Nothobranchius furzeri: one gene and its partners. The protein of the gene in region 2 binds, or shares a complex with, the protein of the main gene of each other region. Links are inferred from orthologs where the notes say so. Each region holds a gene or a part of one and is shown on either strand. Other genes may lie near its edges.

Region 1 (4,812 bases), on a different chromosome or scaffold from region 2:
CAGTGGAGAGGAAAACTCCCTTTTAACAGGAAGAAACCTTCAGAGAATCCTGGCTCAGTATAAGCAGCCATCCTCCACGACTCACTGGGGATGGAGAAGACAGAGCAGGCACACACACACACACAACATATATACGAAGTAGTGTTTCTATGGTCACATTGTGATTTCTAAGTAAATATTCTATTTGGTGAGAGATTAACTTCATTGTATTTATCCTAGTGAATCTATAATTAAATGGGTAAACTAGTAGTAGCACATCCAATGTCAAAGCAAGTAAAAATTTATTATCAGGAGAGGGAAAAATGGTTAGCAGCAGTTTTCAGGCCGATGGCTACCACATGAGGCTACCACAGCTCAGCAGAACATCATTGTAGCTTCTTCTGGGGAGAGAAAAAATAAAGTTAACAGCTGAAATAGCAGAAAATAATACAGTTAAAGAGCAGATTGTAGAAGAAAGTAGTCGAGTTTCCAATTTATTTCCACAGAAATTAATTTAAAGACCTACTGTGCCACTTTAGTTGACAGATAATAAAAATTACATGACAACACATAAGATCGTACTTAGAAGGAAAGAAAAAAATGCACAATAGCAACCTAGACAGTTGGTAATTAAAAGTTACCAAAAACTTTAAACTGAAAAACCTGGCTGTACTCGTCTTGTTCCTCCTTCCACAGATACAGGTCCTGCTGATGGGTGAATGATCTTCAACAGCCCTGTTTAGCTCTTTGAGAGTTACTGCTCTCCTCCAAAAATGTACTCCCCACTCTTGAGACTGTGCTGGGTGATGCATCAAACCTTCTGGCAATGGAACATATAGATGTGTCATCCTGGTGAAGTAGGACTACCTGTACTACCTTTGTAGGGTCCAGGTATCATCAGGTCCCAGAGCCTGCAAAACCATTCCACAAACAATGTAATGCTTTGTGTTGAACCACTGCTGTCTTTATATTTCTTGTTCTTTCTGTCATTCCATGCTGCTCTCTGACAGTCCGATGGTCATTTAACCACTGGAGGAAACAACTGTGTTACATTACTGAAATGCTCGGATGTAGAATTTGCTCGTTTATAAAATTTCTATCCTCAGACATGTTAAAAGTACATTTGCAGTTTCTGTCCACCTAACATAACATTAGGGACACTGTCTAGTGTTAGACTTTTCACAATTATAACTGTATCTCTGTCATTTCATTCATCAATAGAACAAACTGAAGGTGGCAAAACATTTTAAACAGGGAAAACTCATTATCTCAGTATTTCATTAACGTTATGAGATTTGTGAGAAATGTCAATTTCTTCTCTGGTTTCTATCTGAAAGCACTAATTGAATCCCTGATATCATAAAAACAACAATTGAATTATTTTCTCACAATAATTACTCTGTTGTAATGTACCTCTTCAAATGCCTTAGGTAACTGTGAGGTTTTGTTTATCATATTTTTCTCATTTTGCTCCTGCCATGAATGTAATTGCTAGGCTGGCATGCCATTCTAGATATGTACATATATTCCTTTAACCCAAATTTCTCCACTGTGGATAAAGGGATTTTCTATTTTTCTATCGGAACTAGATTAAATGAAAAATCTGATTTGGTTAAATTATGGTGTGAATTAACAAGTACTTTTAATAGATTATTTTTGTTCCCCATCTACAAGTGAAAAAGAACTCCACAAAAATAGAAACTTTTTATCCAATTGATCACTTCCACTTTTATCAAACCAAAACATTTACATGTCTCATTTTATTAAGCAAAAGCAAACAACAACAAATTGAGTAGTCCATGAGAGGAAAGTCAAAGATCTGAGGGTTATTTTTGCGTGATGGGGAATGAATTCTGGTCCATTAACTCCCCAACTCTCTCCTGAAGAGTCTGGACCACCTCTGCCAGGATAAAAACGTGTGTGTCGTCAAGATCCTTGATGATGAACTTCTTTCCTAAAGCCATGGTTTCATCTAGGTAGAGGAGAAACTGTTTCATAGCAGGATCACTGAAACAGAACATGGAGAGGAAAAAGACATTATAATTGTAGGAGTTTTCTACAGAAGAAAGTAATTTTACAGTTTTCTTCACTCTGAAGTTCCTTACCATTCAACAAGAACACCCTTGTGAACATTCACCATGATGACAGGTGTAGTTGATTAAAGTCTGCAAAATAAACAAAACGTGCAAAAATGTTGCGACAGTAACATAAATACTGTATGCATATACAACACATATTCATACCGGACAGTTAATGTACAGAGAAAATTCATGAGAAATAGTAAACAAGCTAAAAATAACAAGCTAACAACGTATTTTGCAACACTTTTAAGCAAAACGTTCTAATTAAAACTTACCACAACAACCACAATGTTCGGGAGAACACTAAAGTTGGTAAGAAATCGTGTAAAACTACTCGTTCAGACCCAACAGCAGCTGCTTTTTAAGCTAAGTTCCGTAGCATTGAGGTAAGATCTACGGCGAGCAACCAGGGACAATCTTCCTCTACCACTATAGCATTGAAGGATGCGCATTTTTGCCACTTCCGTTTAACATGTTCTTCCACGCTATCTGGTACATTTCACGTAATTATCTGCTTATATTATAACGATTTCACTGTGATTTTTGAAAAATTGTTATTAAAAATATTTGACGCTCCTGTGCTTTACTCCCAGCCCAATTCCACCAAGTGATCTATAATGCAAGATTTCTGAACAAACGTGTACGTGTATGTACATGCATACATACATATGTATACATGCGTACGTATGCATGTGTGTGTGAGTATTGCACATGTACATTTGTTTTTAACTATTTTGCAATGGATGCTTGTTAAATTACTTTTTGTCAGATTAAGTTAGAAAATAAACACCAAACGATTTCCATTTAACAATTCTGTTGTATTCAGTATTTTAATACATCATTTAATGAATGCATAGACAAGTCAAACTCAACAAATGTACTCATTCATTTGATTTATTCTCATTTCTAGTATATGTTGGCCCATTGTGATGCATAATTAATGTAATAAAATTAATAGAGTTGACCTAATATATTAAATCAGGGCCATTTTAAAAAAGGCTTGGCAAATAATCCATTTGGCACAAAAAACAACACGTTTCAGTAGAATGAATGAATACAAAAATAACATTTCAACCATTACTCTGATCAAAACTACATAGAAGCAGTTTTTAAAAATGCATCTTTAAGTAAATATATATTTGTTGTGGCTGCAAGGTCTAAAATGGAAAGATGGTGGTACTTCTCATAATATGAGTTTACTCGAAACATGACTTTGACCGGTAAAAATGAAAACATAAGGGAGGAAAATGTAAAAAGATAACAAATCAGAGGTTCGGGTTTATCTATCACAGTTAGTAAGTGTGTGAAATAAATGTGTCTGCATTATGATTGTTAACATCTCACATTATGGTTGTAAACGTGTACAAAAAGAGGTTTGGGGTTTTGAGTTTGTTGGTGGAAGGACTCAGTGTTCCTCAAACTTCAAGTAAACAATTTAATGTCACTACTGATGTGCTTGTATGTCTTTTATTGGCTTGTGTATCTCTGGAGTGCTTCCTGGATGAACTGGAGGCTGCGTCTGTAGAGAAACGAGTCCTTCTTCTCTGGTTTGCAGATGTTCAGGTGATCCACATCCACCTGAATGAGCTCTCCGATGCCCAGATCTGGAACAAAACGAGAGATTACTCAAAAAGAGAAGGTAAGAAACTGGATGACAGATTTTTATTATTTTATCAAAAGTATAGCTCATTGACTTTTCCCCACTGTATCTTACATACCTGCTGACTGAGTTGGGACCACAAATATCTTAATCATAGGACCAATATTTGTGGGCAACGTCTCTGCAAAGCTCAGCACTTTGATTTCATTTTCTTTGGCAATTTTCAGAAAACCCTCATTCAGGTTACGCAGAGCTGGGGAGTCTTTGAACACACAGACATCGACTCATTGCAGACAACAAACTATTTAATTCAAGCCATTTTAGAAGGAATGATCACAGCCCTCACCTTTGCAGAGTTCTCTGACTTCTATAGAAGGAAATAGAAGGTATCTGACATTCACAGAGTACTCTGCCATTAAGGTGCCACGGTGAGGAACACTATAGAACATTATTCCCTTAGTGTTCTTTATCAATCCCTGCAAGTCTGGGTCGTCCGCAGCATCCAACAGCATTTTCTTCACCAGCAGTCCTAAGAGGAGAGTCACATCCCAGAGAGCACAGATTGATTATTTTTCCTGAAACAGTCGCACATAGCCAGAAATGTGATCAAGAGATTGTTGCAGAAATCTGGGTAAAAGTCTGACAAGTTTGTGGTAAAGGCAGCACAGACAGAGTACCTCCCATACTGTGAGCTACCCAAACCACAGGCCTCTCTCCAACTCCTGCCAGCTTTAACTTATTTAGCAGCTCTCGACTTCTGTAGGCCAACGACTTCCTGGAAAGACAAACAGACAACTAATCCTCCACTCAATCGACTGGGTTTACTAAAAAAATCACATGAAATTGTAACTTAATTTACTTAATATGACGATATAAAAGGTAAGGATGTAGGATAAATTATGCAGAATAAGATAATTGCTGGACAAAGTTAGATTCAATTCCTATTTAGCCATTTTTTTGTTTTGTTTTTCCCCCACAAATAAGTGAATAAACTAGAAATTTTCACCTTTGATTCTCAGCTGGACACTTGGCCATCCAGTCACTCAGATGGCTGTCATACTCCACTGACAGCACTCTCAAATTTGGGCAATCAGCAGCTAGCCATGACTGCCGATAACCAAGAAGAAAAAGACATGAGAATTAAAGCTTGTA
Region 2 (5,916 bases):
TGACTGTAGAGTTGTGGGTGATGGTCACGCAGATGTGTCATGAGATATGAAGCGTTGCTGCCTTTCACAGACACTTTTTCTGCTCGTGCTGCAAACAGGATAGCCGTCCGTCTTCTATAAACTCCCTCGGCATTCTTCAAATACTTCGTCTTCTTTGAGGGATAATAAATGTCCTCCTGAGCACTGCCGTCTCCTCCTTTGACCATTATTTCAGCTTTAGCTTCAAGAAAGTTTTATTGTAAACAAAGCGTGCATCTGCCGCCGTCAACTTCAGCCGATGATACGGTGGCTGGTAAGGGTCACCGCGCCTACAGCGCAGCCACGGTAAACCCACCAAGATAATATAGTTTTTTTTAAAACAAGACGGTTATTATTGTCAACTTTTTTTTTTACCGGGGTTTACCGATACACTGGTTACCGTGACAACCCTACCTGATCGGTTTGCTTTGATCTATTTTGAAAACCGATAGGGGCGCTATCGGCCGATTACGATCAAATGCCGATCCATCGGTGCATCCCTAGCTAAAACACGTTATTTTACAAGTTTTATTCTCATGTCATGCCGTTTTCATATATTTACATTTTAGAGACTTACTTGTTGATGAAAAGTTCATCAACTCTGCATCAGCCGAGGTATTCCTTAAATTTGAAGCATCTAAGCGATAGTCTAACGCTATTGGTTAGTTCTGGTCAGTGCTCAGTTTCCTATTGCACAGAGCTCTGCGGGGCAGGAGGCGTGCTTAGCAAAAAAATAAAACATAAATAAAGATGTATTGCTTACATTTTATCACAGCACATGATAAGATAATCACATTTACAGATTTCTGAAAGTAGAAAACTCCGGAAAGCTACTTGAATCCGCCACTGATTCGGATTCCCCTCAGCTGGGCGCTTCAGGGCGGAGCCAGGAGGAGAGTGGTGCTGCAGAGTTGCTCCTCTTTGCACAAGAGAGGATGAAAACAGAAGAAAGGAAACACACAGAAGAAACAAACTGCTCCGGCCGTAACATATGTAATTGTGCCGAGTGTGTTAGAGCTGATGAGTCACCAAAACAAAATCCAACGATGATAAAAAGCACTGATGCACAGCTCGTCTACATAAATATAAATGAGCTCTAAGAGAATACCTGCTTTTATAAAGAAAGCCAGATGAGTTATGCTGGTTTGTTGCCAAATGTAAAAATAAAAAAACTTATAAAAACTGTTTTTTCAATGCTCATTTATTTTCATTTTACTTGAATTCAGCAATCCAGTGTTACCCTTTCAGGAATGATGGATGGCTCTTTAGAAACACATAAAAGTGATCGTCTTACCCGGTTGTATGATAATGTAGGTCATGTGTCAATTTTTAAGAGTCTGTAGAGCCTTGTGCGATTTGAAATGATGACTGCTCATTAGTCAATAGCATTAGGCATCCTCTTATATACAGATGTCACATCTGTACTTAACCTGCATCACTGAGCGTTTGCAGACTGATGCAGAGTTGGTAACATTTCTTGTGGGTGAGTATTTAAAATATAAAAATATGAATAAACAGCTTTACAGGAGAATAATCTTAGAAAAATGTGTTTTAGCTGTTGGTTGGCTAGAGGTGCGTGTTCACGAACATGGCGTGGGAGAGGGGCTTAAGATGCGATACATTTTTCCACCTCTAGATGGTGCTCTCTGAGAATTTCTGCTTTAATGTGCAGAGATGCTGAATGTGACAGAAGAGCAAGAGGAAATCACTTTTCAGGGTTTCAATTTCATTATAAAAGTTCCAACTCAAGAAAAACAAGCTAAAGATGTTTCCTTTCATTTTGAAAGAAGCTCTAAGATTTTTATTTCGACTCTTAAACTGTCACTCAGCAAAAGTTCAGACTAAACAAACTCAACATGTTGAACAGAATACGTTCAGAGCCGCTGGCGTTTCTGCACAGCTCAAGTCCTGCTGCATCAAACTTCCCTCCAGACCCCACCCCTCCTCTGCTGCACCACCCACCTGCTCACTCTGTAAGGTAGAAATGCATTTTGTCGTTGACATTTTTGCGCTCTGGATTGAGGCGCTTCAAAATCTGAGCCAGCACGTTGACCGTCTGCTCACTGCTCAGACCCGTCCGTTTAGTCTGGAACTTCTTCAGCAGGTCCTTCGTGGTCATCGGTTTACGGATCAGGTAGCGGCGGACCGCGTCCTCCGTTAGCTGGACGTCACTGTAGCGGGGGATAAATAAATAAAGTCAGGGTTTTTTAGCAGTTTGCAGAGTTTTAGATTTTGATTTAAGCCTAATAAACGGATTTATTTCTTTCTGTTTTCTGATGGTACTTACCTTGAGCTGGGGGTGGATTTGCCTGATGGGGGCTGGGGTGTGCTCTTCCCAGAGGGAACAGGACTCTGAGTGCTGGGCTCCATCTTTAGCCTTTTAGCAGCTGGGGAGTCTGCAGCAGCTCCCTGCCTCTTCCCTACAGGAGAGAGAGAGATTTAATTAAACACAAATCCTCCCTTAAGGATCAAAGAAAATAAATTATTCTCATCGTTGACATGGTATTTGTGACCGATTTCCGTATTTGTGCTAATCTACAGGCACACACACCTTGCTCCAGCTTGCTAGCAGCAGCCCGCAGAGTGTTGGAGGTGGAGGCGGAGTCGATTGATGGAGTTCCAGGACGACTTCCTGTCCTAGAGCTTCCTGCAGAGCCACGACCGCCTGCACGCTTAGGAGGAGTTCGCTTCTTCTGCAAAGAGCAATTTAAAAATAATAAAAATGAAAGCAAATATGCAGCAAAAAAAAGAAATATTCACAACTTCATTTAGACTCAAACACTCGACTTAAGTAGTAGGGGGTGGGAATCTATCAGCTCCTCGTGGTTCCATTATGACCCAGATTTATGTCCCGTCTTACACCGGTTTCACACTGAAAGCATCAGAGGCGCGGAACGTCACTGCTTCAAATAAAATCTTTTGTCTATGGAGTGTTTGAAACCAGCCACGATGCGACAATTTTCAGGAGCGTCCCAGAAGCGGCACGCTGCGCCGCTAAAGATTGGTTTCTATTTTTGCCACGAGCCGCTTCTGGGATGCGTCAATTCCCGCAGTGAACATAAGGCTAGACAGGAAATCACACATGGTTTCAGTGTAAAATCCCGGGTAATTTTCAAAATAAAAGTACTGAAACGATGCAATGTCATATATATGAAGCTTACGTGTGACCCAACGTCTTATTTACTCCCAGTATCGTTCCAGAAGTGCAGCGGTGTGTTTTCATGGCTTTAATCCTGACTATGGAGAGAAAAACATCATATATGACATCAAACAGCGATATCAAATGTGATTTTTTTCTTTTTGGTTTAATGGCAGATTGCATAAACAAACCGTGATCTTTGAAATCTCGAGAGATTTTGTGATCCCGCGAGTCCAGCGAGGAGCACAGGAAGGAAGACGTACCACGGCCAAGACTCTCCCCGTGTGAAGAGGACCGCATTGAAGTTTGCAAGTAAACCGTTTCGTGCTGCTGATGCTTCTAGTGTTAAACTGGGGTTATATGTTCCTACCCGCTCTTATTATTACAATTAACATCATTTTTTACATTTTAAAATGCAGTCAGAATCTTTGTCTCGATCGCGATGCATAAAAAACAGGTTAAATTTCCCACCCCTAGGTCATAATGTGTCAATGAATGACTAACTGAGCTGTAATTTAAAGCAGAACTCTTTCCCACACACACACACACACACACACACACACACACACACACACACACACACACACACACACACACACACCATGAACAGAGCAGAGGCCGTCTCTCCCTCGATGTCGCTGTCATCGGAGCTGTCTGATTCGCCGCTGCTGTCTGTCACGAACAAAAAGAAATAATTGACCCCGGAACTCAGCCATCTTTAAAATCTAAACCCAAAAGAAATTGTAATTTGCTACAGCTCCTGTAAGTTTCTCCTGAGTCAGAACCTTGCACAGCACCTGCAAGCTGCCACTCTCCTCTCCAGCTCAGTTCCAGCCTCCACTTTCAGCACCAGGGAGAGCGACACGCTGCTGCAGGAATCTGCATCTAGACAGCTCAAGCCTTTAAAAGGGGGCACAGATCTTCTCCGTCATCCCCTTGGTTGTGGCTTGTCTGTTATTAGAATAACTCGTAGTATAGAGATCGCTTAGTTAATTGATGTCTTTAAGACAACAGTTTCTTTAGATTTAGTTCCCCTTCAGTGTTTAACCCAGTTTTCCACCAGTTCTGCTGTGCGTTTATCCAGCATGTGTGTTTAGTTAATGAGTTGAGATAGTTTTCTCCCAGTGGGTTAAATGTCACAATTAATATTGGATACAGGAGACTTGCTTTGTCTGTTATACTGCAGTGCCTCTTCTACTTTGAGTGAACCTTTGTTATAACAAACATCAAATTGTTGCTAAGACCTTGGTGCATTCCTTTTATTTTAATTTTCTGAGTTACTCCTTTCAGACAGGAGGGGTCGTAACATCACTCGTGAAGTTCATACCTTTCTTCTTCTTCTTTTCCACCTGAACAGGGGTTTTCTTCCCTTCCTCCTCCTCTTCCTCCTCCTTTGCTTCTTCTTCATTCTTCTTCTCCTCTTCGCTCTCTTCCTCGCTCTCTGATTCCTCATCGATTCCTGCAAACAGACAAATTACTTCAATGAGAAACAAACAAAACTCCTGCAGGAGAATACCAGTATCGTCTCACACCAACCTTTAGGATGCTCTTCCTCTCTGGTGGGTTTCTCGTTAACTTGGTCTTCATCTGGGCTGTTGGGAAAGAAAATAACACATGAACACACAACCATTTCTAAAAGAAAGACACACACACACACAAGCCTTGTTATCAAAATCAGTGCATCTCTAATGACACTGTGTCATAAATGATAGTTGTACCAGAAAATAGTGGAAGTTTGAGACTTTTCTCTACTTAAAGTGCATAAAGTAGCAACAGCATTCTGTGGTCACATGCGGGAACAGCATGTTTCATAACAAACATGTCCGCTCTGAACAGCTGTCGTCAGCCACGGATCAGCACCAGAAGATTCTAGATGAGGAGTTAAGACGAGTCGAATGCAGTAAGTTGATAAGTAGGTAAATACATTTAACTGTAATATCAAGTAGGTCAATTTCATCGTTAGCATTGTTAGCTCAACGTTAGCGTCTAGCCTTTTTTTCCCCCAATATTAGAGTAAAGCAAAAAGATGCTGTGGCTTCTTAAGGGTACAAGAAATAACTTCTGGGTTGCTCCTGTTAACTGGCTTTGGTTCTCAACACAACTTTGGAGCTTTTTGTCTGCTAGTGTCGAATTACAAATGCTGGTGTAGCATCGTTGGCAGATTTGCAACTCTACAGGTTCACATATGATTGGCTCTGCAACCAGGAAGTATGACGGCGGGACAGATTGTAAACGATGACTATGTCCCTCTTCACATCTGACATGTTTCAGTGCAGCTTTCCTTCAGACAGGATTGAGACATTAGCCTGTTTTGTGATTATTTCACTGTAATATTCTAACATGTTGTACCTTTAAAACACCTGACTAGAATCAGACCTCTGTAGGACATGATAAGTAATAAATCCAAACACTAAATCTGATAAGCTGGAGCAGAGAAACATCTAAAACATGCAGGATAGTACTAGGACATGAGTACATAGCTAACATGCTAGCATGAACTAAAGCTAATAAGGGAATGGGGTAAACGGGGAGGGGGTGGTAGGGTAATAAGATCTCACCTGCTTTCATCTGACATATAATCCACTTCCAGACCCTCGTAATCGCCATCATCACTGTCTTCAAGGGCGTCTTTTTCACCACCCTTTTGCTTCTTCTTTGTTTTCGATTTCCCCGCGGCCTTCTTCGTTTTTGCTTTGCTCGCACCGTCTGACACGTTTAAAAAAATGTTTCAAGTTTAGAAAAGTAAAGATGTGAAAATC
Region 3 (6,050 bases), on a different chromosome or scaffold from region 2:
CGGCCTGGAGCTCCCTAATTGGGATGCTGCCCCCGCGACCCGGACCCGGATAAGCGGAGGAAGACGACGACGACGATTCCTAAAGGGGGAAAGCTCCAGACTGCTGCTTTAACAGCACCACTGTAACATAACAGTCTCATTATTGTGATGTTATTGTGAGCACCAGCAGGCGCCGGCTTTACCTTATTGGACATGCGATGGCAGTGCTGCTCAGTGGTGTGGATCAGAGTCTGGTCCAGGTCCACCATGAGGACCAGCTTCTTGTTTCGATGGAGTCTCTGCTGGTCTTCTCTGGCCAGCTGCTTGGCTTGCTGTGCAAATTAATGCAAACAAAGGACAATGTAGGATAAAGTTCAACTACACACATGTATATATATAACCTCACATAATATTGGAGTGTTATTGGTTTAATGTTGTAATTTTCACAGATTTGCAGGCAAGTGAAATTTTCTAATAAAGCTATATGAAGCCACACACACACACACACACACTTCCATCATATAACTCACCTCAGAGCTGACCATCAGTTCAGGGACACTGTGAACCATGGAGACTGTTGCTGTGGAGATGGGAACTTGTTGCTTCCCGTTTGTTCCCTGGAGCCTACGATGGGATAGAGAGAGAGAGAGAGTAGGAGTTCTGCCCTCTGTGCATCTCTCAGACCCTTCAGCAGATTGTGACTGAAAGGATTTATTACAAACATGCAAATGCATGCATTCATGCCTGCAGCAGTTCAGCGTCCAGAGCCCCCAACGTGGACTCATTAAGCCACAAAAGCATGCCCTGACATTTTATCTCACTGCTGAGGTCTCTGTATTAAATACATGCAGCGTCACATTTTTCTGGTTTAGCTTTTGTTCTTGTTCTACCAGCAGCGTGTTTGAAAACAGTTGAGACTTTTATGATTTCATTATTTTGATTATTGATCGATTAGGTTTAATTGTAAATGAACCCCCCAAAATTTTAACTGGAAAACTCGGTTCACACACTTCCAACACACAGCTCGTGTCATCGCGAGATCTGGTTGTTCCGTCAGAATGAAGGTGGTACACACTGCTGCCACCTAGCAGTCGGAGTTTGAAATGCACCACACAAAATAAATAGTTAATGTTTGCATGTAAATTCTCAAAAAAAATCTATCCGTTGCTTTTAAATGGCAATTCAGTATCATAACATAATTTCCCCTCATATGTTGTTTTTATTACTCATTATTGTCTGATGAGGAAGAATGAACCCTTACCACCTGGGTGTTTGCTGTACCCAGCGTAGCAAAAGCCATGTATCAGATTATATGACGACTCGGTGTTGAGTCTTGTTTTTGGTTAAATATATGTAACATGCTAACCTTGCAGAAATTATATAAACATCCTTGAAATGCATCAAAGTCACCTAACATCCATGTGTGATCTCTGGTGCCACCCGCTGGCACCACACAGAACAACACCCAGTACCAAATAGGGCTGTCGCGGTTGAGGAATTCCTCCTGCGGTGATTCAGGGTGGCTTAATATTGCGGTGTGCGATATTATTGCAGCCCTTTTTTATTGCAGTACTATCTAAACATAATGTTTACACATTTAAAAAAGGTTAAAAATTGCCGTGCCTTCTTTAATAACACTTTACTGAATGCAGATCAAAGGGCAGTAACAACACAGATCGCAGTAACGTTTGTTTCTCCGACAGTCGGAGTCCGACTGAACTTAAAAACAACAAAATTCAGGAGAAGGTTAAACTTTTAAATGCAAATTTGGCTGCAGCATCTAACAAATAAGAAACAAGTCCCCATTTTGTTTAGTTGTTTAAAATCAAGCATAAAAAATTACATGTACCGGGCGCACGCGCGCGCGCCGGGGGGCGGGCGCACTATCATTTCACTTTCACACACACGAATGACGGTGCTTTATAGCTCGGCCACGTCCTTGTTACCTACAAGGAAAACCAGCATGTTAACTACGGTTTGAGAGAGGATCTGAGAGGGGTGGCAACATTTCCAGCAACACTGAAAACCCTCTCGGATGGTGCGCTCGTTGCGCTAACGCACACGTACTTGCGTGCGACTCTGGCGAGCAAAGGGAATCTCTCCCGGTTGTTGCTCCACCATGTCAGGGGGTTTCTTTAGGGTGGATGCATTCCTCCTGCAGGTAGCGAGTGAGCTCCAGCTCGGCTCCAACTCTCTTCGGGACGGTTGCAGAAGCAGTGCTTGTCCGGGACTTCAGCAGGTCTCCGAGCATTTATTTATTTATTTATTTTTGCCGCTGGTGGCAGCTCTGTCTCGGCCAAGGACTCTGGCTGCGCAGCAGCTGACGTACTGAAAACCAAAGTGCTCCCAAAGGAGCGAAGTAACGTTTCGTTTTGATACCAGTGCAGCCATCCTTCTCAACATGCATCATTGAGTTGAACCAAGTTCAGTAATCGCGGTGGCGCATGATGCAGCGCGGTGGGCTTCTTCATATCGCGATATTTCATTTTTGCGGTTACCGCGACAGCCCTAGTACCAAACACTGCTCTCGCTGCAACATGACATTTATTCAGCCTATTTTACCAACTTTTTTAAATGATCAGCATGTGTCCAACAATAACTAAACAGAAACAATGTCCATCCACATCTGGAACTGGGAAAGGAGGAGCAACAGCTGAAAACAAGTAGATTCTGAGTCAATGTGTCCTTACTGAGTAAGATCCTGGCCACACTCGGCGCACAAGCCCTTCATGACAATGGGATGGCTGCACTGTTCAATCCTGACGATGACACCACTAAAAAGACAGATGGTGAGAGAATAAAACAATTATTACAGCACCCACATGTTTATTAAACACGTATTTCAGCTATTGTGGCTCATATAGATGTTTGTCTCTATTTACACTATTACAAATAAATGGGCTACACACACACTGGTGCTGCTATGTAATTAGAATTAAATTAAATAAAGCTGATTCATCCAATGAAGGCAACACTTTTATTGTAGTACAATTAAGGCTGAGTTAAATCCTGATTAGTATCAAGCTGTCATGTTTGCAAATAAAAAAACAGCATGGTTTTTTTTTTGTTTGAAGTAGGATTTTACAAAATGCACCTGAAGGCCACAAGAATAGGCAATAATATAATTACATCACTTCAGGTTTATATCAGTAAATGAAGAGTGAGGTAATGATTTTCCTGTTTCCTGACTGTCTAAAACCTGAAAACGTCCCTGACAGCACTGTGCAAACGTGTTGTTTTCTTCCTATATTGATCTGATTGTTGACTCAAACACACCACAACACTGCCCAGCATGGTGGTGCTTTCAAAATAAAAGTATCGCCTGCTCTTCTTGAAAAACGCAGCTTTGAATTTACAGCAGCGGTGATCGCACACACTTTTATTTCCACACATGTTCCATAATATATTGGATAAATTCACAATACGACGTTTAAAACCAATTCTGAGACTGACGTATACGAACTTCCGCTCTTACTTCCAAGACAACTGTTGTTTTAGGGTTAACTTACTAGCAACAATGCTAATCAAGTTAGCCGTGTTAGCTACTGGCTAACTGACGTTCAAGCAGGGATGCTTTCAAAAAAGTATTTTCAAAACTTTTTTTTATTTGTTTGGCTGTAGATTTTCTTAGAAGGGGTGTGCTGTAGTAAACAGAGCGACTCACCCTGGAGGAATGATTTGTCCAACTTGACAACCTAGCTCCTTCACTACTCCAGAACGGTCTGATTTCACCTTCTTCTCGGGCAGCCTGGCAGCCCCCGTCCCCTTCTCCCGAGGCATGGGAGCACACAGTGCCAGCACAGAGTCCACGTTAACCAGAGATCCGGGCTTGACTTTCCACTCTAGAAGCCGCAGAGGGAGAGCCCCGCTGGGAGAGCACATATCTGCCACCTGCACTGCGGGGCCCTCCGCAGCAGCATCGCCGCCGCCGCCACCAGAATCAGCAGGAGGATCCTCCATCTGTCCTGCAGTCTCCAGAACCTCTTTCGTTTTCTGCACCAGTCCACTTTATACGTATCAAACCCACCTCGCGATGGCCAGTGTGTCAATGTAGCAAACGAATCACGTGTTTGATCAATAAAACAAATGTCCTGGAGATTTAAACACCGTGGCTGCTGTCTCGTTCGCTCTTCCCGCCCGTAAACAGGAAAGCGCAACACTGCAGCGACGCACGTCGCAAAGCTAGGGGTTTGCCGAAAAGTGTATCCCTGTCACACTGGTCAGGGAAAAGGTTTGAAAATAACATTTGAATGAAAGTTTGATGTCAATCAGGTTGTGTTGCATATTTTTTACATACGATTTTTAAAACACCACATTTTACGGGGAGTAATTTTAATTTTGTTTAGAAGTGAGATGATCGTATTTACACTGAAAAGCACACAGTAATAGAATCTTTGCAGATTTTGGACTGACGTCAAATCTTACGCTTCATGGCTAGGGTGCTTTTTTCGACATGACACCGGTAAGCAGGCGGACAGGAAGAACGGGACACTTTTCTACTTGCCCTTCAAATTAAAAGCGCTGATAAAATTCAATGGATCACACATTTGGTCTTCAAAACCGTGTATTACACTGGACTTTCAAACTTACTTCTGTGCACTTTATTCCAGTTTACAATTCAAAATGACAGAAAGTTGTGCGTGTTTACCAACTGTATAAAATAAGGACATGCACTCATATTGGACTCAGCGGATTCCACGATTTTATTTTTAAATAAGAAGACGAAAACGGAAGTGGGTGGGTGCGGTTTCTCTTGCACTCCAGTCTTCTGACCAAAAGTCATGCTAGTGTTAGCTGAAGAAGGTTCTCAGACTGCTGGCGACCTCTTTGACAAGAATTCACGGCTGTGAGCAGGGTGTTAATATTATCAGAGGGAAGCATGACATGGGGGACTTCTGGAGTGGTAAATAAACAAAAATCTGAATCTATGTCTAGATCGTTTTGGCAAAGATAGTCATTGATATTAACCTGTTGACTAACAGCTAACGATTATTAGCTATCATCAAGCTATGCAACTAGTAAAGCTAGATGTGCAAGTTGATAGTCATTTAATTCAACTTAATATATTTATTTATTCATATTTCACTGCATTAAAACATCTGTTGTTTGAAGTTCCATCTCAGTTTGGCAACTAAACAAAAACTGTCTCTTCGTTACTCTGAGCTCCTGATTGGTCCAGTACATCTGTGGTCCTCAAGGGTCTAAATGTGTGCCTGACGCAGTGGCGCTCCTAGAAAGTTTTCTTCGAGGGGAGCCAGTGCAAAATTTGAGATGGCACCAAATTTGTTCCTGTGGTAAATAATGGAGGATTTAAGCCTGATTCATGCTTCTCCATCAGCTCCAACAGGGAGAGACACGCACGGAGATGTTCTCCGTCTCCTGTGGAGCGTTGCAATGCACTTCCCCGCCAGGACAGCAGAGGGCGTAGCGCTGTTCTGTGGTATCCTGTCATGTATCGGTCCAAGATAGTGTGTTTATATTGTGTTTTTTGTATATAAGAGACTTTTTAACACGGACATATTTGTCTCTCATTCTCCTCCACCTCTTCATGCGCTCGCCACCTCGAAACCCACGTTTCCTGTCATTTCCATCCACAAATAAAACGCTTGCTGCGCATCTTTTCACTCCTCCAGTCACGGGGGATTAAACGTTCATATTTTTAGGTTTTTTTTTGCGAGGTATTCTTCAAGCTGCTCCGCTTCTGCCGCTCGGCTCTCTTTATGTTTTTGAGGGCGCAGTGGCGGCGGTGTAGACAACAGCGGCGTCCTGACCAATCACAAGCTTGCGTTGTCCGTCTCGACGGATGGATGTTTAGAAAAGAGAGCTAGACTCTGTCCGTCCTTGCGGAGCTCTCCGGCAGGCCCGCGAGGACGGATAATGGTGTTGCGTGTCTCCGCTCTGACGGAGAAGCATGAATCAGGCTTTAGCCTGTAGCTGCGCATTGCTCTGTGCCTTCAATTTCTCTCATTAAAAACACTTTTACCTAAAATCCGAGAAATAGAAACATTTTAGAAAAAAAGACAATTTATGCTGTTATTTTAATTATTGTTTCCAATTTAATTGTTATAGAA
Region 4 (5,090 bases), on a different chromosome or scaffold from region 2:
CTTCAGACGGCAGGATTTAGAGTTTTATTTCCTGATATTTGGATATCTTGCCTTGGATTGGCTAACTGCAACATGACTCTACCACTGACTACATTTGCTTTGCAACGTTGATTTATCTCCACAAATGACACAAGTCTGAAGGAGTTCTGCTGTTGTGGAGTTGCTAATGCTAATCATTAGCATCTACTAGTCGAGACGTTCACTGCCGTTTCCTGGACGGTAAACCAACAACAGATTTCCCCGTCGCGAGTCAAGATGGGTGAGTCCATGAATGTTAAGTGACAGTGTGACTAGATCTGTCAGGCTTTTCTGAACCGAGTGTGTTTCCGTCTAGTGTCTATCAAAAGCTAATGAAGGAAATAGGGGTAGAAGACTGTTTTCATGGTTAAACTCAGTCATTGATCATTTTCAAAAATAAGTTAAAAAAATTTGTTTCCCACTGAACCTGCTTTTTAAAAGACGATCTTATTTCCTGAATTTCTAATGCAGGAGAGCAGCAGATGGCCATGGAGACACTATTAACGGCGATTGCCATCATAAAGCAGTCTAAAGTGCACGGGGATGAACGCTGCCGAGCTTTGGTCACCTCACTCAAAGACTGTTTAGTCTCGATCCAAAGCAACTGTGAAACCAGGTTTGTATATTTAGGAAACTTGGTTTGAGTGCTTGTCTTTCTTAGAGGGTTAAGCTTTTTTCTAATTAAAGATTTTCTTTTTAGCAGGCGTTCAAGAGAGAAAGACAGAGACCGGGACAGAGGTCGTGAAAGAGACCACGACCGCGACAGAGATCGTGACAGAGAGCGATACCGAGATCGTGACCGAAGTGACTCTTACAGCAGGGAAGGTGCGGGAACGTCTCGAAGACATAGAGAACATTCCTGGAGTGGAGACAGGGACAAAGAGCGCTTACGAGAGCGAGAAAGACATCGAGATTACAAAGACCGATACTACTAACCTGGTAAGATAAACAGACTTAACTACAAAAGTTATATATGCTAAAAATTACATTGAGTCAGGGGAGCATTTCTTCCTTTATAAACATTTTAAATGAGCAGTTATTTGTATTCTAATCTTCACTGTAGGTCAGACACAATATCAGGATAATATACAGCTCTTTAACGTCTGAATTTAATATGAATGCATTAACTGAAATCACGAAAGATTGGCATCCCTTTATTTTTTTTACTCTGACTTTGTTCTGGTTTTGTTCCCTTTTCTCCCCAGACTGAAGAATCCTGCCGGGGAAAGATGAGCATTTTCTTGCACCAAGGTTGATAAATGTCAAAACTCTTTGAAGCTGAGACATTGGATGTTTGAAAGTATGAAACCTACTTTTTATCAGTTATATTCACCATGTCTGATTTGTTTTAAGAAAAAGTTGTGTAGATTCATTCTTGTATTATAGAATTTCAACATGCATGTAGTGAACACCTGTTAATAACTTGTTTTCATTCTTTTTTTTGTATAAATTCTACAAATAAAAAAAAATCCTCCAGTGTTTTGTTATAACTAACTACACAAAGCTGTAAAATTATGTCACATTGACAGGAAATAGACATTTAATCATTCATCAATTTTTCCAATCTCATGAAATGAACTATGCGATTAAAACCATTAATTTCCAAAGCTAAGATCTGAAGAGCTAGTCGTTGCCAACCACATAAAATGTAGACGCATGGACGAAAGAAAGCAAGGTTATTCATTTTATTTTAAAAAATCCAGTAATTGAAAAATGTTTCCATAAATTCTTCTCTGTGGTCGTAATTTAAGGTTACATAGTACACACATTCACCCTGATAATGGTGCTACAAAGTCCACAACATTCATTTTTCCAACGGAGCATAATTCAGCAATTTCTCAATAAGATCCACATGAGAAAGAAGCATCCTTCGACAGCAGTACCTCTTCAAGCCAAGAGCGTCAAGAGCATCACTAGGGAGGGAGATGGCAAAAATCAGTCCTGATATGTTACATAAACACGTTTTAATCACTGCTGAAAACCATAAGGAAAGGTGAAAGGCATTGTGGTTTAAAAACAAATCTAAACCCAATCTTCTTTTTAAATGTTATTTAGCTTGCCTGCATTGTGACCAAATGTTGAAATGTTCTACCTTTGTAGAAAAGCTACTCAAACACGTGCCAGAACAATTTCGGACGTAAAAAGATCATGAAACGTGAAGCTAGACGTGGTTGTTTCTCACCCCTCTGTGTATTCCGCTTGCAACAGACCGAGGTACGCTTCCCATTTGTTCCCCACAATCTTCCCACAAGTGAAGCACCTCACAGGGATTATCATCGTTAAATACCTGCAACAAAAGTCAACCCGGTTAATGTTTGAAAACAATGTAAAACAATCACAGTTGAGTCGTTTAACTTAAATTACATTTACGTTTCCGCATACCACCGCAGTAAGACCACCATGTGAGCATGTTTTGCTAACGTTAATGCAGCAAAACCTAGCACTGCAACGATTAAAGCAAACACGTATTTAGTTTTTTTTTTCAGATGGATTAATCAATAGTCCAAAAACGAATTACTTAAAAAAGACGGTTGAAATCAAATCTTATGGTTAGTGCTGTATTCCGCTACGTAACTAGCCCACCAGCTAGCGTTAGCTGCTGTTGAAATTATTCCGCTAAACGAACTTACACACGTCATTAGTTTATCACGTTTTACCATATGTTTCACCTTTTGAGGCTGTAGATCAGATGAATGTACTATTTTCTTGGTAAAAGTAACTCCAGCACGATAATGATGGCGTTCTCTCACTCCTTATGTCGTTAAAACAACTTCCGGGTAAAATCCGCCAAAATAAAAGCGGAATAAGAGGTGAGCGTTTCCTGTGATTTGCAAAATTGACCCCCCCCCCCCCCCAAAAAAAAAAAAACGAAAATGGGGAAACTGACACGGAAAACGTGTGAGCGTCTTCGTCTATTTGGTTTTAATAAATGTGGTGCAAAAGTGAAATAACAATTCATTAGAATCACAATATTGCTACTGAATAATGACCACAGCTCACTTCATAAACGAGCGTATAAAAATGGCAGTACTCCCCATCAAACTTAGCTAACATGTCAAGTCACTCACCTCACAATGTATTTTTCCTTTTACAAAACAAACAACTTTGAAGCAAAAGTATTAATATCCATGTAACCACAGATAAAGGAGTTTAAAAACTCTAACATTTTCCTTGATATAACTAATAAATGCAATTGCAATTCAATATACCATCTTGACAGAATGTTAAGGAAAAGAGCTAAATTAGTTGATTAAAACTAATGTTTTTGAAGGTGGTACCATGCAAAAATAAAATCTTCATCCAATGCAGATAGTTACACAAATTAATATTAACATGAATCCACAAAAGAAATGCTCACTATAGGACTGGTTCACTGCCTTTAATAAGATTGAATTTCAGATTTGTCATATTTTACATTTAAATGATTGGACTCATAGAGGAGGGTGCATAAAGAAAATATTTAAAATATAAAACATACATATTATTTCCACCATAGTCATCTTTACAGTCAGCATGATAAATGTCATTATCATTACCATCAGTAACATTATACAGTAATACATCATCTATGTAATTTCATTTGCTACAGCACATATGCTAAATGAGGAATCCTACCTGAATTATTGCATTTATACGCTGTTGAAATTATGAAAATAGGAGTTTTCATATTCTTTTGTTTTTTAAGAGTACACTGTATTGTACAATGTAAGGTGAAATTTATTTTTGTGTTGACTTACTACTTTTTGAACATGTCAGAGGAGCTGTCTAGTGATGGTGATATGCTCTTATGAGTTTTTTAGGGGGTATAAAATATGGTGAAGCTATACATTCTGGTTGTCAAAACTACCTTTCTACCAAACAGAGACAACCGGATGAGTTTTACAGTTGCAAGCTGAAAGGCTAGTGAGCCACTGTACAGGTGTGTTTGTGCAGTAACAAATTCTTTTCCCCCTTTCAGTGAAGTATGAGTACTACTTTTATGCTATTATAAATGCTTTCATTACATATTTTTGGTGGGTGACTTTGAAAACACACAGAGTGGCATAAAAATTGACTCAATTCTAGTGGCTGACTGGCTGTGGGCTTTCAAACCCATATAGAGGTTAGAATAAACACGCAAACCAACTTCTTCTTTTGTCCCAGAACGTGTCATATTTCAGTGTTTAATAATGTTTTGGTTTATTTTAAACCCAATGAGTTTGTCTTTGTTACTCTTCACCAGAGGTCTGCAACCTTTACTATCCAAAGAGCTGTTTCCCACACTGTTACAGGGCTTTCAGAAAACAGACAATGAATTTTTGAGAAATGTCTAAAAATTAATCAGAATTCTGAGGTTGAAATCATGATTCTGACTTTTTTGTTTTTAGATTATAGTCACAACTCTTGTTTTATCTTCTATCAGTATCTTCTCTATGGGATTTGATTAAGTTTTTAAATTAGGAAAAATGAAATAAAACTTTTGCAAAAACTGTATGAATATCATTCTGTATATCAGGAAAGTTATAAAAATAGTGTAATTCTGTTGAGGAAATTGAATGCAATTGATTCTGTGAAAATACAGAACAGTAGCTTGAATCTGCATTATTATATTAATATATATTTTTTTAAATTAGTATTTTACCATTTTTAGAATACATTATTAAGAGCAATTGTGGAAGCTCCAAAGAGCCGTACTTGGCTCCAGAGCTGTAGATTGCAGACCCCTGCTCAATACAAAGGTTTACCATATTTTTTTGCCACCAACGTACAATGTAGATGTAACGAGTGACACCACAGAATCAACCCAGGAACACTGATTTATTCCTGAGTGACAGAACTGAATAAAAAGGTTTTTCTTTCCAGAATGACAAATGTCAGTTTGACACACTTGGAAAATGATGGAAAGTTGAGGAAATCTGCAAATTCTTGCCACAAATAGGCTCTAGTCCACATTATTAGTAGTGGCCTTGTTGATTACTGGGCCAGTATTAGCCCTGTGAAGGTCAGCTGTTGCCTGTACCCATGCTCATACTTATTCTCAATATATCTAATTCCACCTGTGCAGGTGTTTCTTTTAACAAAAGATCCATAAT

What was found.
Region 1: gtf2f1 (region 2) and gtf2h5 share a complex: the UniProt entries of both Homo sapiens proteins name them as parts of the TBP-based Pol II pre-initiation complex. The link is inferred for Nothobranchius furzeri from reciprocal best matches to the Homo sapiens genes GTF2F1 and GTF2H5.
Region 3: the proteins of gtf2f1 (region 2) and ctdp1 are in contact, whole or in part, in an NMR structure (PDB 1ONV), measured with the Homo sapiens proteins. The link is inferred for Nothobranchius furzeri from reciprocal best matches to the Homo sapiens genes GTF2F1 and CTDP1. Residues at the interface, in NP_002087.2 of Homo sapiens: Thr470, Lys471, Leu474, Gln478, Ser486, Thr489, Val490, Leu493, Ala494, Leu497, Lys498, Leu500, Asn501, Pro502, Arg504, Met511, Phe513; in NP_004706.3 of Homo sapiens: Ala946, Asp947, Met949, Ala950, Lys951, Ala952, Leu953, Glu954, Glu956, Leu957, Asp959, Leu960, Met961.
Region 4: gtf2f1 (region 2) and polr2l share a complex: the UniProt entries of both Homo sapiens proteins name them as parts of the TBP-based Pol II pre-initiation complex. The link is inferred for Nothobranchius furzeri from reciprocal best matches to the Homo sapiens genes GTF2F1 and POLR2L.

What each region holds. Positions count from the first base shown.
Region 1 is NC_091742.1:2,692,531-2,697,342, forward strand, and holds gtf2h5 (general transcription factor IIH subunit 5), read right to left. Parts: upstream 2,476-4,812; 5' UTR 2,336-2,475; intron 2,145-2,335; 5' UTR 2,120-2,144; coding exon 2,085-2,119; intron 1,987-2,084; coding exon 1,806-1,986; 3' UTR 1,671-1,805; downstream 1-1,670. Other genes in the region: protein SERAC1, read right to left, coding at 3,528-3,664, 3,779-3,922, 4,007-4,189, 4,338-4,435, 4,667-4,767. UniProt on the Homo sapiens protein: Component of the general transcription and DNA repair factor IIH (TFIIH) core complex, which is involved in general and transcription-coupled nucleotide excision repair (NER) of damaged DNA and, when complexed to CAK, in RNA transcription by RNA polymerase II.
Region 2 is NC_091752.1:52,157,613-52,163,528, forward strand, and holds the end of gtf2f1 (general transcription factor IIF subunit 1), read right to left. Parts: intron 5,864-5,916; coding exon 5,716-5,863; intron 4,750-5,715; coding exon 4,694-4,749; intron 4,617-4,693; coding exon 4,485-4,616; intron 3,830-4,484; coding exon 3,759-3,829; intron 2,712-3,758; coding exon 2,570-2,711; intron 2,439-2,569; coding exon 2,306-2,438; intron 2,190-2,305; coding exon 1,985-2,189; 3' UTR 1,783-1,984; downstream 1-1,782. UniProt on the Homo sapiens protein: TFIIF is a general transcription initiation factor that binds to RNA polymerase II and helps to recruit it to the initiation complex in collaboration with TFIIB. It promotes transcription elongation.
Region 3 is NC_091751.1:1,630,901-1,636,950, reverse strand, and holds the start of ctdp1 (RNA polymerase II subunit A C-terminal domain phosphatase), read right to left. Parts: upstream 4,149-6,050; 5' UTR 3,940-4,148; coding exon 3,644-3,939; intron 2,754-3,643; coding exon 2,670-2,753; intron 604-2,669; coding exon 510-603; intron 312-509; coding exon 183-311; intron 1-182. Other genes in the region: adck5 (uncharacterized aarF domain-containing protein kinase 5), read left to right, coding at 4,859-4,882. UniProt on the Homo sapiens protein: Processively dephosphorylates 'Ser-2' and 'Ser-5' of the heptad repeats YSPTSPS in the C-terminal domain of the largest RNA polymerase II subunit. This promotes the activity of RNA polymerase II.
Region 4 is NC_091749.1:62,789,986-62,795,075, reverse strand, and holds polr2l (DNA-directed RNA polymerases I, II, and III subunit RPABC5), read right to left. Parts: upstream 2,827-5,090; 5' UTR 2,688-2,826; intron 2,306-2,687; 5' UTR 2,296-2,305; coding exon 2,201-2,295; intron 1,932-2,200; coding exon 1,823-1,931; 3' UTR 1,690-1,822; downstream 1-1,689. Other genes in the region: cleavage and polyadenylation specificity factor subunit 7, read left to right, coding at 490-634, 719-953. UniProt on the Homo sapiens protein: DNA-dependent RNA polymerase catalyzes the transcription of DNA into RNA using the four ribonucleoside triphosphates as substrates.